Linked DNA regions of Lonchura striata. The protein of the gene in region 1 binds, or shares a complex with, the protein of each later gene. Links are inferred from orthologs where the notes say so. Each region holds a gene or a part of one and is shown on either strand. Other genes may lie near its edges. The genes, in order: ZDHHC9 and GOLGA7.

Region 1 (8,040 bases):
GCAGCAGAGCTTCTTCCTCTGACAGCTCTTCCTCCTCCTCCATCTTGCCCTTGCTCTCCACAGCAACAGGCACTGTGTCATCTCTTGGACCCTCCTGTGCCTCAGGCTCCGGGGCCAGGCCACTGGGCTTGCCCAGCATCCAGGGATTAGCCCCACTAGGCATGGGCAAGGCCGTGGTGTCCTCCTCAGGCACCTCACACGGCTCCTCCTCGGGCGGCTCCACCCGCACCTTCTGCATCAGCTCCTTGTTCCTGGCCAGCTGCTCCTGCAAGGCCTTGCGGGCCTGGGAGGCACCGAGAGGCTCTAACACAGGGCAGAGACAACATTCCCAACCTTCCCTGCCCTTCCCATTCCCTCAGTCTCCTCTCCTTCCCCAAGCAATGCTGAGGATCCTGCCACGGCATTCCAATATATAAATGGGATTATAAGAGATAGAGAAACTTTATACTGTGGCTTGGAGGGACAGGACAAGGGGGAATGGCTGCACATTGACAGAAGGAAGGGCTAGATGGGATATTGGGAAGAAATTCTTTCCTGTGAGGGTGGGGAAGCCAAGGCAGAGATTGCCCAGAGAAGCTGTGGCTGCCCCATCCCCAGAAATGTTCAAGGACAGGTTGGTCAGGGCTTGGAGCAACTTGGTCTGGTGGAAAGTGTCCCTGCCCATGGCAGGGGGGTGGAACTGGGTGAGCTTAAAGGTCCCTTCTCACAAAACCCTTCTGTGGCTCCATCTCACCTCGAGGTCATACTTAGCCATAATGGCCCTGGATCGGGCCCATTTTCCCTTGTTCTGGTGCTTAAGGCTCATCCGCTCCTGGGGAAAGAGAAGCATCACACAGAGCTCCCCAAGGAGCAGGGCCCTCCCGAGGGGTGAGGCAGAGGTGCCGGGGCAGCACCTGCATCCTGAGCTGCTCCAGCTCCTCCAGCCGTTCCAAGGCGGCCGCAGGGTCCGACTTGTGCAGCTGCTCGAACTCCTTCAGGGCCTGGCGCCTCCGGCTCTTCTTGAGCACGCGGTGGTACCTGTGGCACAGGGGTGGCTCAGGGGCTGGGCAGCCACGGGTGAGGCAGGGCTGGCCTGCCCTGCCCTGTCAATGTGCCCAGCCCAGCACAGGCACAGCCTCACTTCTTGCTCTTGATCCGCTTCGCTCGCCGAGCCTTGGCCTCATAGTAGGACTGCAATGCCCGGGCCTTCTGCAGCTCCGCCCGCCGGCGCCGAGCCTGCCGGGGAGCGCGGGGTGAGGGAGGGGAACGGGGGGTGAGGGAGGGGAACGGGGGGTGAGGGAGGACAGCGCGGGGTGAGGCACGGGGAGCAGGGGGTGAGGCACGGGGAGCACAGGGTGAGGAACGGGGCCAAGGAAGAGGCCCCCAGAGCCAGGGCCCAGCAGGATAAAGCCTCACCTCCTCCAAGCTCATGGCCTGCACTGAGGCCATCTCCTCTGGTGTCAGCAGCGGGTCTGTGATGGGCTGCTGTGTCTTGTGGAGCAATCCAAAGATCTCCTGCTCCAGTGGAGTTCGGGCCTGTTGGGACAGTAGACATGGCAAGAGGATGAGGAGAAGTGCAAGCAGCAGTGCTCCCCTGGATGTCCCCATCCATTCTCACTGCCCCCACGTTGGTCTGTGGAAGGCCCAGAGAAGCATCCCCTGCCTTGGGGGACTGGGTGGCCATAGCCCCACTCATGGCTCCCACACCACAGCCCTTGGGCACTCTCCCAGCCACATGGCCCGGTGAGGGCAGGTAGAATTCCTCCCGCATTAGAAAAATGGCCTCCCAGTTGCCAGGCAGTGCTGACCAGGGGGAACCACACAGGAGTTCCAGGCCATGCAATGCCACGTCCCTCCAAAACAGAAAGGGACTTTTGGGCAGATCAGTGTGAGCAACAGGTTTGCTGGGAGTTCAGTAGGGGCCGTCCCTTCCTCACCTGGGCATCTGACAACTGCCAGGGACAGCAGTGCTCTCCTGCAAGCAGCACAACCCCACAACAACTTGCATTCAAAACCAAACACCTCCCTCTTTTGTAAGGAATGTTTCCAGGCACACAGGACTTGGCAAACCAATCCCCTCTGTCTCAGCACTTGTGGCCAAGGGACACTCCCATGTGCCTGGCCCTGAGAGGCTACAAGAAGGGACACAGCAGGCTCCAAACCCTCTGCTCACACCCTACCTGGCTTGTCCCAGATGGAATTTACACACCTGCTCTGTAAAACTGCCCTTCTAACCTTCCCAAGCTCAGCGGGCACCTGCCCAGTGTCACCCCCAGTCTGGGCCTGCCACCACTGCCCCTGGCACAGCCAGGAGACATCAACCTGCCCCAGCTGATCCTGGAGCCACCCAGCAGTGCCCCCAGAGCCACCCCAGCCGTGTGAGCCCCGGTGTCACCTTCCACGCTGAGGTGACCCTCTCCAGAGGGGTGACGGTGGCGATGTCCTGCCGCAGGGGGAACACCAGCTGCTCTGCACGCCGGTTCTGCAGCACCACCTGCTGCCACTTCCCCACCTCCTTCGAGCTGGTCACGTAGGCCGCTTCCCTCACCACCTGCAGGGGAATGGGACAGGCAGAGAAAGGTGATGGTGGCATCAGGGAGGCACACGGGGGTCCTGGGGGCTCAGCTCAGACTCCCCTGGCTCCCTGCACTCACCCTCTTGGCCTCCTCTTTGCTCAGTGGCAGCTCCACCGCCGCCTTCTGCTTCACTCTGGCCAGCTCCTTCCTCACACTGCCCAGCGTGGATTTGGGATGAATGGGCTGCAGCAGCTCCGACAGAAGCAGCTTTTCCCCAGCACCTACGCACAGGTGTGGCACTGCCGGGTGAGGGAGCTGGCCCAGCCCTCACGGGGGCTCTCGGCGGGCAGCGCCATCCCAGCTCCGCGAGCCCTGTCCTGCTCCCCGCTCACCTTTGCAGCTGACATTGAACTCGGACACCTGCCCGCTGGCCTCCGAGCGTTCCGCCAGCTTCCGCCTGCGAGAGAGACACAGAAAACACCCCCGAAGGTTCCTCGTATCCGCCGGCTGCTCTGGGGGGCCTGGGGCCGGTGCCGAGGGCAGGGGCCGAGGCCTGTCCCCTGCCCTCCTTGCTGGGCAGCCTCCCGCCACCCACGCGGCTGCCGCAGGAGCCCCGGGACGCCCGCAGCCGCCACTCACCGTTTGCGTCCGGACAAGGCGCTGATGGCCTCCAGGAGCTGCCGGTGCCGCCGCTCGCCATCCTCCTGCCACAGGGCACACGCGGTCACAGACCCAACCTGGCCCCAGCGCCCGCTCCCCCGTTCTCCCCGGTGCCCCCAACGGCACCGCCCGGCCGGCTCCCGGGCCCGACATCCCCGGCCAGGCCATGCCGTCCTCCGCTGCGCCCACCGCGGCCGGGAGAGCGCCCGGAGCGCCGCAAACAGCGGTGGAGGCTACCCGGAGAGCCCGTGGCGCTGTTCCCGGCCCCGCTCACCCCCTCCTCGCTGTCGCTGTCGCTCCCCGCCGCCGCCGCCGCCGGCTCCTGCTCCGCCATGGCCCCGCACGCCGGTACTGCCGCAAAGCGCCGCCGAGTGTCGCGCCGAGCCCCGGCGCCCTGCCGCAAAGCGCGCCGCCGTGACGTGCGGGTTGCCATGGCAGCGGGCCCGGCGGGCGGGGCGGGAGAGGCGGAGGGACCGAAGGGGTCCGGGAGGGGCGGGCAGCGCCCCGCCCGCCTCGGGAGCCGCCGGGACACCGCAGTTCTGCGGGTCTTCGCTCCGTCCCTGACTCTCGTGGCTGCCCCCGGCCGCAGGGATTCCAGGATTCGCTGTTTTCCCTCGGGTCGCGCCAGTGCCGCGGGCTCGGGACGGAGCTGCCGCACCTCCGGTTCCTCCCGGCGGCCGAACCCGGCTCCTGGGAGCGTTTTGGGGGTCAATAGGATCTGGAGGATGGTTGGAGCAAACACACGGAATTGTCAGCCACGAAGCGGTGTCAGTGTCCGCCACTGCGCCCGCAGCGCCCGTCCTGCCCGCGCCCCTTGTCGTTCTGCTCCGTCCCGAGCCGGGCGCACGGGGGCTCGGGGCAGGAGGGACGGGGATAACGAGCTGCTCCCCGTCCGCTCCCGTCTCCATAGCAACAGCCGCGGGAAAAGTTCTGTGTTTTCCCCTCGGTTTGGCGCTCCGGGCCCTGCCTTTGCTGGCAGCCACGTGCCCGGCGGGAGCGCTGTGTGCGGGATTCCAAAGGGGCTGGGATGACAGGGATCGATGGGATGCCCCTGGCAGGATGCCGGCAATGGAATCCTGGGGGGCTCTCCGGACCCAACCCCACGGTGTGGGCGTGCAAAACCGTATGAAAACTACTGTGCGAAATGTGGGAATGTGCGGATGGGGCGGGAGGGGCGGGGAACCCACGACGGGAGCATCCCGTGCGCTCCCCGCGGCGCTGGGACTCGGAAGCCCGGTCCTTGTAGACACCCGGGGAGAGAAAAGGTTAAAAGAGGAACGGGGGGCTGCACCGGGAGGTCTGGAGGGAGCAGTGGGGGATGAGCCCTCACGGCCCCGCCCCACCACGTGCCGCGCCCCGCCCTCACCCCGCCCTCCCTTGTCCGCACCGGGGCGGGTCAACCACGCGGAGTGGCAGCGCCCTCAGCCAATGAACCAGCGAGAAGAGGCGGGGTGGGAGGAGTCACCACGAAGTGACAGCGCCAGTGACCAATGGAGTGGCGAGAAGGGGTGCAGTGGGAGGAGCTGCCACGGATTGACAGCGCGCTCGCCCAATAGAAAGGCGGGAAGCGGCGGGGCGGGGCGAAGGGCGCGGCGGGACCAATGGCCGCGGCGGCTCCGCCCCGTTCGGGCGCGGGGCGTGGCGGCCCCTCCCGGCGCGGTGCGAGCGACCGGCGCGGCCCGAGCGGCACCGGCACCGGGTGAGCGGCGGCGCGGGGCCCTTCCCGGCCCCTTCCCTCCCTTCCCCTTCCCTCCCGTCTCCTCTCTAACCCTTCCCATCCGCGCTCTCCGCGGCTCCCGGCACGCCCGCACAGCCGGGGCTGCCGTGCCTTGTGTGGCCGGGCCCTGCCGCGTCCCCTCCCGGTGCGGAGCCGCCCACCCGAGGGTCTTCCTGGCCGCGCCCCGCGCCCCTCCCGGGTGGATTCCCACGGCAACGCCCCTCCCGGGCGCGGGGTTTCCATGGCGACGGCGGCCGCCGCCCCCCGTGCCGGTGCCGCCGCCGCCCTGGTGCTGACCGAGCGCTTTCCCCGTTCCCTCTCCCGCAGCCGCCGGCCCAGCCCAGCCCAGCTCGGCCCCGCGGGGCCCCGATGATGCTGGGCGCTCGGGCGGCGGAGCAGCAGCAGCAGCAGCGCCCGAACGTGCGGCGGCCGCCGCCGCCCCAGTGACGGCCCCGCCATGTCGGTGATGGTGGCGAGGAAGAAGGTGGTTCGGAAATGGGAGAAGCTGCCGGGCAGGAACACCTTCTGCTGCGACGGCCGTATCATGATGGCCCGGCAGAAGGGCATCTTCTACCTGACGCTCTTCCTCATCCTCGGCACCTGCGCCCTCTTCTTCGCCTTCGAGTGAGTTCCGCGGGGACCCACGGGACGGGGACGGGCCCGTGTGCCCGGGGCCTCCGGGAGAGGGAGGGAAGCGGAGTGCGGCTCTCCCTGTCCAGATCTGCTTCCTCACCCTCAGCAGACTGACCCTGGAGGTTCTGGGGGGAATGGGCCCTGCCGGAGCCCTGCCAAGGGGTGACACTGGCCCTGCTTCCCTGTGGGTCACCTTCTGTCTTGGGACTTGGCAGTCCCTTGTCCCGAGTGCTCCTGGCTCCAGGATAGCCGGGGTGCAAGGGGACAGTGCTGCAGCCCTGGGGCACAGCCTGTGTCCCTGCAGCCCCCACATCAGCCCCACTAGGGAGGTGACCCCAGCAGGAGGATTAATGAAAAATGAGCTGGAGGGTCCTGCCAGTCTGACCTAGCCCCAGCCCCAGGCTGCAGTGCAGGCAGAGCCACGCTGGTATTTAGGAAGGATCCGACCACCCCTTCCATCACCTCAGCAGCCTAAAGACCTTCGGCCAAAACCTTTGATCCTGCTGAAAAAGAGGGATCTGCCACCTCTGAAATAGAGGGATCTGCCCTCTCCCCTCAGCTCTCCCTGGGAGCTGGGCTGGGGAGTTTGGCTGGCCTTAGACTAATCCTGAAATCAAAAAACAAGCAAAAAGGGAAAAGCCTATGTTTGTCTGGGCTGATGCTGCAGCAGGGGGCAGGACACCCCTGTTGCCTGGCTAGAGGATGAACTTGGATCAGTTAAACAACTGAAAAACTTCCCTTCCTCGGTCTCCATGGGCATGTTTGTGTTGTGGGGCAGCAGAAGGGCTGAAATAGGGTTGGGTAATACAAAAGGTTGAAAAGCCAAGATGAGCGAGTAAAAGGACCTGCTCACTGGCTAAGCCCCTGGCTATTCCAAAAAGCCCTGGGCCCAGATGCTGTCCTCCTCAGCATAGTTCCTAAGCCAGGGAACTTGTTTCCACATTCCCTGGCCCAGCGTGTCTCTCCCTAGTTCCCTGCCCGAATTATCTCTGTCTCAGTCTGAATTCTGAGGTACTAAGTGACACCGCTCTTGGTTTGATGTTTGGGGTTTTTTCCATCTGAAAAATAGGGCTGAGCCTTCCTGCCTTACAGGAAGAACTATTAAGTGTTGCTGCTCCAGAAACGCTTATTGCTGCACCAGAAACACTGATTTGAGGGATAATTGCTCTGGCTCCCTGTGGATCCTGCCCGTAGCAGGAGCATGAACCACATCCCGCTCTGCCTTGGTTGCGCTAAGGCAGAGTGAGCCAAGGCTGTTTTCCAGACCTAGGCTGTGGTTAGTCAGGAACGTGACTGGAAATTCCTTGAGAAGCCCCTTTCCATGCTCTGGCAGGCAGAGGCCTGTGGAGGAGTCGCTTGCACCGAGACATTGAGGCTGTGTGTAGACCTGGAGGGTGGGCTCTGCGGGGGGAATGCTGCTGGGAACAGGATCACCTCTGAATTTTAGTTAAATCATTGAGGGAGATAAGGAAAAGTTTGGGAAAATCCAAATACCCAATGAACCGATTCTTTCAGTGCAGAACACCTCAGTATTTTTTTTTTGTTTGGAACAGAGGAGATTGTTTTGAACTTGTTTGGGGATTTTTGAATTTGGGATAGGGATGAAATGTTGCCTTCCCAGCTGGAAACACTTCCCAAGGTCTCTGTTTCACTGATCAGGCTGAGATAAGTAGCTTGGCTGCTCAGGAGCCCTGCCTGCCCTGCATGTGTAGGGAGCTCTGGGTGAGGATCTCAGCCTCGCTCTTTCACTGTGTTGTCTCAGTGTTTGGCAGATTCTTTAGTGTTTGCGTGGAAATTCCTGGTTTCCCCGTGAAAGTTGCTGTGTGGATTCGGAGCGCGGCAGCCGGCGGTGGGCGGAGGAGCCTTTCCCTGGCTGTCCCTCACTGCAGGCTGCCTGTGCCTCTCCATTCAGCTGAATCACTTGCGCAGTCACACCTTGTCTGAGCGCGGCTCCGACTGAGCCAGGATCTGTCTGGCTGCTCGCCCTGCGCCGGGCTGGGCTTGATCCTGGTGCTCCGGGCTGCCCTGGCTCCAGTTACAGCTGAGGCCGGTGGGGACCAGCACCCACGGCAGGAGGAAAGCCACAACCCTTCCTTCCCAGCCCTGGAGCGATGGGGCTGCTGCTGGTGCTGGTTTTCCTCCAGGTTTCTCCAGTGCTGCCAGCTGCTCCGCGGTGTCCACAGGCCAGCGGGCTGAGCCGCCTCAGCCCCGTGCGTGGGAATTTCTGTGTGTTGATCCCCCAAACCGCAGCGCTGTGTTTTGGGACTGGGGAAATCTCTCCCTCCAGGAGCAGACAGGAGCCAGAAGCTGGCAGAACTCAGTGCTGTACCTGAGATCCGACTCCTCCCTCTTAGATAAGGCAGAGGGACGGAGCTGTGCTGGTTCCCGGGAAGGGCTCTGCAGCGACCGACTGGAGTCCTCTGCCCAAGGGCACCTCTCTCACCACTACGGAGCAGCTCCCGCTGCTCCCTGCAGAGTCCGAGAGCTGTGTTTAACTGGGTCTGCTCCATAACACGTCCCGTAAAATACAGTTTC
Region 2 (8,409 bases), on another chromosome or scaffold:
GTGGCAGGATGAGCAGCCATAGGGGTGCAGGACTTGCTGCCTGGACACACAGGCTGCCAGGTCCTATGCAGTCACTTGGCAGTGGTTGAAAAGGTACAGGATCCTGGAGGCTTAATTAGAAAGGACCCACACGGATTGTCAAAGTCCATCTCCTGCCCCTTCTCACATGCATGAGAATTTCACCCTGTGCCTGAGAGCGTTGTCCAAACACTTGAACTCTGACAGGTTTGGAGCTGTGACCACTGCTCTCGGGAGCCTGTTCAGTGCCTGACCAACTTCTGGGGGAAGAACTTGCCCCACTTCTCATTGTCACCCCCTCACCACCAGATACAGCATCCACCTGTGCTCAAATTCTACTGTAGTATCCTCAAAGTTAAGGTCTCATTTAAGTGCTTTTATGAATAAAAACTTGTTAAAAGAAATGCCTGCAAGGCAGGGCAAGTCCTGCTCTCCCTCCTCTTTTTAACAGTGAGAAAGCGAGGTGGCTTTGCCCCAAGACAGCTTTGCCTTGGGATGGAAAGAGAGGAGCCTGGGCACTCTGCTTCCATCCCCACATCCAGCTGCCAGAGCTGGCTTCTGAGGTAGTCTTTGAGATGTTGAGTTAAGGCTGATTCCCTGGGGCACAACATGCTGCCTCTCAGTTTCAGGGTTTTAATGGACTGGCAGGGTGTCTGGGAAGGAGGAGAGGGAAACAGAATTTTCCTTTCCCCAATAATAATTTTATGAAATATTTTAAAAGGGATTTAAAGAAGACTCTCTTTCCTCCCTTCCCCCTTTCTCAACTGTACTGTGCATTTTAAACTGCTTGTGGAAGGGAATTCATTAGTGCAGGCAGCAGAGCCCAAAGCTCTACAGCAGCCCGTCTTCTGCACAATGGAGATCCAATGCTTTCTCCCCTGCCTGGGAAACACATGCCCAAAATCCAAGTACATTTAGTTTTTCTAACCTAATTCATTTTGTAGATTGATGGAGAAAATCCATAGCAAATATTTATGACTTTGCAATAAATAACCCTCACAGAAGTTACAAAAGAGTTCTGGCGAGTCTCAAGGTAACTTTCAGCGAATTCCAGGGGTCAGGGCAGACTGGGATACTGAGCCCATAGTGCTTGAGCCTTTAGCTCATCTGTTTTGAATTATTGGTATTACTCAGTGTAACATTGCTCTCAATGGAGTAGCTGTGCTGTGATTCCATGCCATATTTTATTTCTGTGGCAAGAGAGAAGCTGCAATAACTATTAGTTGTACTCTGTTGTAGCCTGCAAAAAAACCAGGCCCCAGCGGGGCAGGGTTGGTCCTGCTGGTGCTTGCAGGCTGCGAAGGAGCCTGAGCCTGAGTGCCTGGGACAGGACTGGGGGCAGACGTGGTGCTTTTTCCTGCCAGGAAACGTGGACTGCTGAGGTGCTCGTAGGCATCTGGCGCTGCTCCAAAGGTGGTAGTGTCCCAACATTCTGCTGAAGGCAGCTATCAATGCTTCAGGCCCCTGGGGCCAGCGAGGGGTGGTGGGTGCTGCTGGGGCACCACACTCCCCGTCCTGAGAGCCACACTCCCATCCTGAGAGCCACACTCCCATCCTGAGAGCCACACTACTATCCCGAGAGCCACACTCCTCGTCCTGAGAGCCACACCCCTATCCTGAGAGCCACTATCCTGTCCTGAGAGCCACACTCCCGTCCTGAGAGCCACACTCCTATCCAGGGAGCCACACTCCCATCCCGAGAGCCACACTCCCATCCTGAGAGCCACAATCCCTGTCCTGAGAGCCACACTCCTATCCTGGGAGCCACACTCCAATCCTGAGAGCCACACTCCTATCCCAGGAGCCACACTCCCGTCCTGAGAGCCACGCTCCCGTCCTGAAAGCCACTATCCTGTCCTGAGAGCCACACTCCTATCCTGGGAGCCACACTCCAATCCTGAGAGCCACACTCCCGTCCTGAGAGCCACACTCCCGTCCTGAGAGCCACACTCCTTTCCTGAGAGCCACACTCTTGTCCTGGGAGCCACACTCCCGTCCTGAGAGCCACACTCCCGTCCTGAGAGCCACTATCCTGTCCTGAGAGCCACACTCCTATCCCGGGAGCCACACTCCCGTCCCGAGAGCCACACTCCTCGTCCTGAGAGCCACACTCCAATCCTGAGAGCCACACTCCAATCCTGAGAGCCACACTCTTGTCCTGGGAGCCACACTCCTGTCCTGAGAGCCACACTCCCAACCTGAGAGCCACACTTCTGTCCTGGGAGCCACACTTCTGTCCTAGAAGCCACACTCCCATCCTGAGAGCCACAATCCCCATCCTGAGAGTCACACTCTTATCCTGGGAGCCACACTCCCATCCTGAGAGCCACACTTCTGTCCTAGAAGCCACGCTCCTGTCCTGAGAGCCACACTCCTGTCCTGAGGACCACACTCCTGTCCTAGGAGCCATGACTGGGGCGAGAACGGATCCAGCTCATCCCCACTCTATCTTCGTTAGCTCTTAATCACCACAGCGGAAGGAAAAGCAGCTACAGCATCACGCTGCTCGCCCGGGCATGGGCTTCTTTCAGGGCTTTCAGAAAACAGGGTCAGACGTGTCTTCTGACCTATGACCTGTCGCTTCCCTCCTCGCCATAATTATCTAATACAGCGCTCTCCCTGCCAAGTACAATGAAACAATTTGTCACTTCAATTGTCTGTCAGTCAACACTGGGGCCTTTTCAACAGACCAACACATGTTTTTTGAGAGCTTGTCAGCAAGGGCTGTCTGGCCAGGCACATAACCATGGAAAATGGAACCTTTGTTAATTCTGGTTCTTAGAAAAGTAAATCCATTCACTTGTTTTTTTCAGGCCTTCAGTTTGGAATTTGCACAAGAAGCTGAATTGCTCCTGATCCCTAAATGATTGGTCAGAGGATTTGCATGAGGAAGCAGAAATTAATTATTCTTTTCTTTTCTTTTTATTTTCTGTAATTGTGTGTTTAGAAATGAGATTACATTCTACAGCAGCACGAGGGGCTGAGGGGGGAATTGCTTTGCATTTGTTTAGCTCCTTAGAGTTAAGATCACCTAATCGTTTCAAGCATTTCCTAAGATTCCCTCTCTCTTTTTCTGCTTTAATGACCAAACAAAGATTGTGCTACTTCCCGGGGAACTTTTCTGGCAGCTGAGCTTGGCAGTTGGGAGTGAGGGGCTTATCCCTCTGCCGAAATAGTCTTAGAATCACACAATCACTAAGGTTGGAAAAGACCTCTAGATCACTGAGTGCAACCATTAACTAACTCAATGCTGCCAAGGTCTCCTTCCTGCTTTTGGCTTGCAGGGCACAAAAGGCATTGCAGAGCTCACAGGCTTGAGTCTTGGTGGCTCCTTGTGCTGGAGGAAGGGTGCCAGGATTCCAGCCAGCCCAGGAAGGAACTGCTGGCTACCCAATTCACATGTCCAGTCAGCACAAGCTGGGGTGCCTGGGGAGCCCCATGCCAGGCAGGGTGCTGGGACATCCCAGAGGGGCCACCTGAGCTGTCAGGACATGGATCTGCTAGTTCCAGGCCCTGCAGTCATGCTCCTGTTCAGACAATAAAACAGATAACCTTGTTGATAGCACAAAAAAAAGAGAAAAAAAACCTGCATTTTTTGGTGCTACTTAGAGCTTCTTTCTGTATTTTTGGGTTTTTAAACATTTTTCTTTTGAAAGCAGCACCCTTTGAAATTCTCAGTTTGTCTGTTGATACACAGATGAAATTCTATTCCTGAATATTTAATGCAAGATAGATATCTCTATTTTCATGTATTCATCATTTTCTTTGTCATGTGGAAGCTTGTGTTCTGAAATACTTTATTTGAGAGCATTACAGAAATGCTGGATGGCCCATACTCAATTTCAAATGCCCTAAATAAAAACTTCTTCAGATCTGGCTTTCCAGAATACCCGTCCCTGCCTAATTCAAACCATACAGGGACGTCTGACTTAGACTCTTTCAAGCCCATAAAATGACACAAATTGGCTTTGCGAGTATATCTCCCACCTTTAGCTATGTCTATAAATTTGATTTGTCCTCTTGCATCTCTACTGCATTAGGTGGCCTGAAAGACTCTGTTTCAAAGTGTCTGTCTGCTCTGAGAGCCACAAGCGTCCATGCTTGGTCAGGCTGGAAAACACTGTGCCCATGAACAGCGAGGGGTCAGTGGCTGCTCAACACCTCGGATTTGCCCATGGCTCTCAGGAAGAGCAGAGTGGCACTGTGTGGCCCCATGGCACCGTCGGCACGAGCACCACAAGCACGAGCACCCCAAGCACGAGCCCCTCCTGAAGGTCGGGTCCCGGAGGATGAGCTCCAGAGGCACAGCCCCAGGACACGGCGCTCGGGGTGAGGCCGTCCCTGCGCTCTCTGCTGCCAGGTTTGCCTTGGCCCGAGGGACCGCTGCTCTCGCTGCCTCGGCAGCCCAGAGCCCTCGGGCAAAGGTTAACGGGCCGCCACCGGACCCCGCGTGCGGCAGCACAGCCAGCTGCGACAAAGCTGCGGGAGCGTCGCTCTGCGCGCAGCGGCTCCGGTTCCTACGAAAAACCATGGAACTGAGGCCCGAGCTGGGAGCGGCGGGCCCGGGACAGGGCCGGGCCCCGGGACAGCCGGCGACTGTGGGCCCGGGCGGTACCAAGTACGCCGGGGGGCCGCCGGGACAGGCGGTGTTGCCGCGGGCCCGGGCGGTACCAAGTACGGCTGGGAGGGAACGGGGGGGGTGTGTCACGTGAGCTGGCCGCGCTTGAAATCAGCCGTACGCCCAATCGGATATGGGTGCTTTTGCACATGCGCGCTCCTGCCGTTCTGCGGGCTCCGAGGCTACACCTGCGCAGTGCCGCGCCTTGTGGCGCCTGGCGGCACTTCCGCCCTCACCCGAGCCCGGCGTCGCCTCGGTGGTTTTGCGACAGCCGTAAGTGCGCGGGGCGGCCGGCGGAGCGGCGGGACCGGACGGGACCGGACGGGACCGGGGCGGCGGCGCAATGAGGCCGCAGCAGGCGCCTGTGTCGGGCAAGGTGTTCATCCAGCGCGACTACAGCGGTGGGACGCGCTGCCAGTTCCAGAGCAAGTTCCCGGCCGAGCTGGAGAACCGGGTGAGGCGGGGCGGACGGGGGCTGGCCCGGGGCTCGCGGCGAGCGCGGCGCACGGAGCCTGCACGCCGGGCGGGACCAGGCCGGGCCTTACGGGCCTGCGCCCAGGTGGCGTTCGCAGGTGCCCTGCCTCGGTCGGAGCTGGTCCCGCGGGTTCCCCGAGGGCCGGGGTAGCATCTCCTGCAGGAATCTGACCGAACCGCTCAGGCGCAGGAGCGGACGTGGTTCCTTCCTCGTGTCCCGGTCCCGGACTCTGGTCAGTCCTGGGGAAGGTGGCTGGTTTGCAGTAGAGCAGAATGTACTCGTTGTGTTTGTGCGAATAGAGTCGGGTCTGTTCTCTCAGGTGATAGCATTGTCCTCTCCCTTGAAATCCTACCCGTCCTGCCCACTCAGAAGCCTCACAAACGCTGTTTCAAGTACTTACGTTTTGGTCAGTGCTATCAGATGTGGGCTCTTAAGCTGACAGTCAAACAAACACGCCTTCCTACCCCATTTTCTTTCGCTCGCTCGGCTTTTCTCTCTTCCTTGTTCCTTTGTTGTGGGTACGTTTGGTCAGCACTGCAGCAGCACCGAGGCACTGAGGGTGTGGAGTGTCCCTCCACGCTCGCCTGTTCATTTTAACCCATCACATCCCTGGGTGTGAATTCCGGTTGTTTCACAGCTGAATTGCACATTAGCTTAGGAGTGTTGCTCTGAATGGTTTTGTGTCCACGTTGTGTTTGACTCGGACTCAGCCTGAGCACAGGAAGGTGTCTGACAAAGAGCTGCAGGTGTGTAACTCTGCGTGCTCCAGGCTGCGGCTCTGAGTGCAGTGCAGATGATCCCTGAGTGGAGGTGGATGTACAAGGCTACTGGTGAGTTCTGCAGTGTGCACCTGACAGCCCCACTTGCTTTTCTTGCAGATTGACAGGCAGCAGTTTGAGGAGACAGTCCGGACACTGAACAACCTCTATGCAGAAGCTGAAAAACTTGGGGGCCAATCTTACCTGGAAGGCTGTCTCGCCTGCCTGACTGCCTACACCATCTTCCTGTGCATGGAGACACACTATGAAAAGGTAAATGCTTGTTTCCCTTTCATCCTGCAGGCAAGAACTTGGGTCCTGGTGGGTTTCCTGTGACTTGCAATGTTCTGGTGCAGATGCTGTATGGATGTAACTCAGGCGTGCTGGTACTGGTCACTTTGGGTCCCATGGGGGGCACCCTGAATCCAGGCAAGTGCCTGCACTGTCGAGCCATCAGAGCAGTTGTGTGTCAGTTCTCACCTTGCCGTAGCTGTGATACTGTTTGAAAGGAAACAGTTGTGACTTCTGTGCTGTTTCATTGCCAGGTTCTAAAGAAAATTGCTAAGTTCATTCAGGAACAGAATGAGAAGATCTATGCTCCTCAGGGCCTTCTGCTGACAGACCCCATTGAAAGAGGATTAAGAGTTGTATCCTTCTCTGGTTTCTGACATTGTCTCCTGCCTTGTGCTCCTCGTTTGTCTCAGTGAGGCACCTCTGCTCATGCTCGATCTGTGATACAGAATGGGTGATTAATCTTGTTGCTTTTTGTTGTGTCCTGGTCCCTAGTCAGGTTTTAGTATGTTAAGGTTTGGTGCGTGCAAAGCCCATAAAGATGTGGAACCCAACCTTTGTGCCTGCCTGGAAAGAGCGCTCAGGATCCTGCCTCTATTCCAGTAATGTCCAGAAATGCTGTTTTTCTGACTGGGGAAAGAAGTGACCATGTTGGTAGGACAGAAATGGATGTGATAACATCAATTTACTTAATGTGCAACCCTCAGCTGAGGTTTTGGTGAAGATCTTGACATACAACATCACTGCAAGCCTGGCACTTGCTCTTGCTTCCAGTATGGCTTATTTCAACCCTTTTTCTTCAGCCGTTGAGCCACACTGAAGACATTTTGTGTGGTTATTGCCTGAAGTTGTAAAGACCTCTCATAGCAAATGGGGAAGTATAATGAGTAACACAGCTTTCTTTGAAAATCTTGAAACCACAGTAACTTGAAACCCAATGCCAATTGAATGTATGATGAGGCTAATTCGTTGAAGTTGGGTTTTCTGTGTCCTTGTCCATGTAGCTCAGAGCTGTCACCTACATGACTTCTTTTTTCTCAGTGTGTTTTTCCATTGTGTATACACCTTCTGGAAAGAAAAAAAAAACAACCAACATTCAATTTGAGTAAAAGCATTTTCAGTTTGGTAGGTGACTTATTAGCAGTATTAACTTTTTTTGCTCGGCGCACAGCCTTCCCCATGAGTTCCTGCGCAGGCCCTGGGCTGGGAGCCCGTGCTCTTACCTGATGAGGCATCTCACATAGGCTGTTCCTTTTGCTTTGGAGCTCTGGGACCTGCCTTTAAACAGCTCAGATATCAAAGTCCCATCATCTTAATGTTTTTCTGCCTTTTTCCGGGTATGTTTTCATAGTCTCTTTATAGTGTATTTCCTTAACAGCTTTTCTGTGCAGATTGAAATTACCATTTATGAAGACAGAGGTTTGACCAGTGGAAGATAAAACTGTGGAGTTTTAGGTACATGTTACCTGTATCTCAGATCAATCTCAACATCTTTTTGTGCTCAGAGGATTGGGTGCTGTCATGCTGGGAGTTTATCCCACCCTTGTAGTTATCAAAGACTGTTCACATAAAGCCTGTGTGGACCAGCTCTTCTTAGAAGTAAAAATATCAGTACTGGGTTGAAGAAATTGGAGTCTTGATTGTGTAAATATGCTAACTTGTACTGTATTATGTCCAAAATTCTTCTCGGGTCAGTAAAAAATGGACTCTGTCCCTGAGTGTACTTTAGCATACAGAGCCTTTTTGCTGCAGTTTTTTAGCTGGCTGCTGTTCTGGTTACCATGCTGATGTCTTTACTTGTGATGCTTTGCGGTAGGAGGGCCCAGCAGCCTTGAAAAGCTCTGCTGAGAGCTCTCAGTTCTCTTGGTGCTGTGGGGCGAGTCACAAATATCCAGTGCAGACCACGAAAATTGCTTTCTGTGACTTTGCTTTTGGACAGCTGGCATTGGCACTGGTTCCCTTGTGCTGGGTGCTCTGCAGGTATTGGGATGGGAGTGTTACATTCAGATTGTTAGCAGTATATACAGAAAAGAATGGGAAACATTTATGCCTGTTTTGCAAAAAGAAACAAATAGTAAAGGTCTTTATTTTTTGTTTGGACAAATGAAATGAGTTCTGGATTCTGCTCACCACAACACATGGTAACTCTTGCCACATTCTTGCTGCACCTGTAGAAAGGTTTGTGTAGGGTAGCTTTTGGTTTGAGTTAGGAGTTTCTAACCCTATGAAACTTCTTTTCTAGATGACAG

The links.
Region 2: the proteins of ZDHHC9 (region 1) and GOLGA7 are in contact, whole or in part, in a cryo-EM structure (PDB 8HF3), measured with the Homo sapiens proteins. The link is inferred for Lonchura striata from reciprocal best matches to the Homo sapiens genes ZDHHC9 and GOLGA7. Residues at the interface, in NP_001008223.1 of Homo sapiens: Phe78, Ala81, Arg85, Ile94, Pro95, Leu98, Asp100, Glu101, Phe104, Ile105, Phe129, Gln130, Ile131, Asn132, Ile146, Pro149, Pro150, Arg182, Tyr183, Leu186, Tyr274, Lys281, Cys284, Glu285, Leu287, Cys288, Gly289, Pro290, Leu291, Pro292; in NP_001002296.1 of Homo sapiens: Lys11, Phe13, Gln15, Tyr18, Ser19, Ser20, Gly21, Thr22, Ala57, Glu58, Leu60, Ser64, Tyr65, Gly68, Cys72, Ala75, Tyr76, Thr77, Phe79, Leu80, Tyr86, Glu87, Leu90, Ile116, Arg118, Gly119, Arg121, Val122.

The regions. Positions count from the first base shown.
Region 1 is NC_134616.1:15,265,319-15,273,358, reverse strand, and holds the start of ZDHHC9 (palmitoyltransferase ZDHHC9), read left to right. Parts: upstream 1-4,835; 5' UTR 4,836-4,854; intron 4,855-5,125; exon of another isoform or gene 5,126-5,199; 5' UTR 5,200-5,329; coding exon 5,330-5,496; intron 5,497-8,040. Other genes in the region: UTP14A (U3 small nucleolar RNA-associated protein 14 homolog A), read right to left, coding at 1-283, 734-811, 894-1,017, 1,121-1,215, 1,396-1,515, 2,375-2,530, 2,634-2,776, 2,888-2,952 and 2 more. UniProt on the Homo sapiens protein: Palmitoyltransferase that catalyzes the addition of palmitate onto various protein substrates, such as ADRB2, GSDMD, HRAS, NRAS and CGAS. The ZDHHC9-GOLGA7 complex is a palmitoyltransferase specific for HRAS and NRAS.
Region 2 is NC_134634.1:4,765,525-4,773,933, forward strand, and holds the start of GOLGA7 (golgin subfamily A member 7), read left to right. Parts: upstream 1-4,822; 5' UTR 4,823-4,979; coding exon 4,980-5,090; intron 5,091-5,989; coding exon 5,990-6,142; intron 6,143-6,414; coding exon 6,415-6,516; intron 6,517-7,551; coding exon 7,552-7,599; 3' UTR 7,600-7,615; intron 7,616-8,402; 3' UTR 8,403-8,409. UniProt on the Homo sapiens protein: May be involved in protein transport from Golgi to cell surface. The ZDHHC9-GOLGA7 complex is a palmitoyltransferase specific for HRAS and NRAS.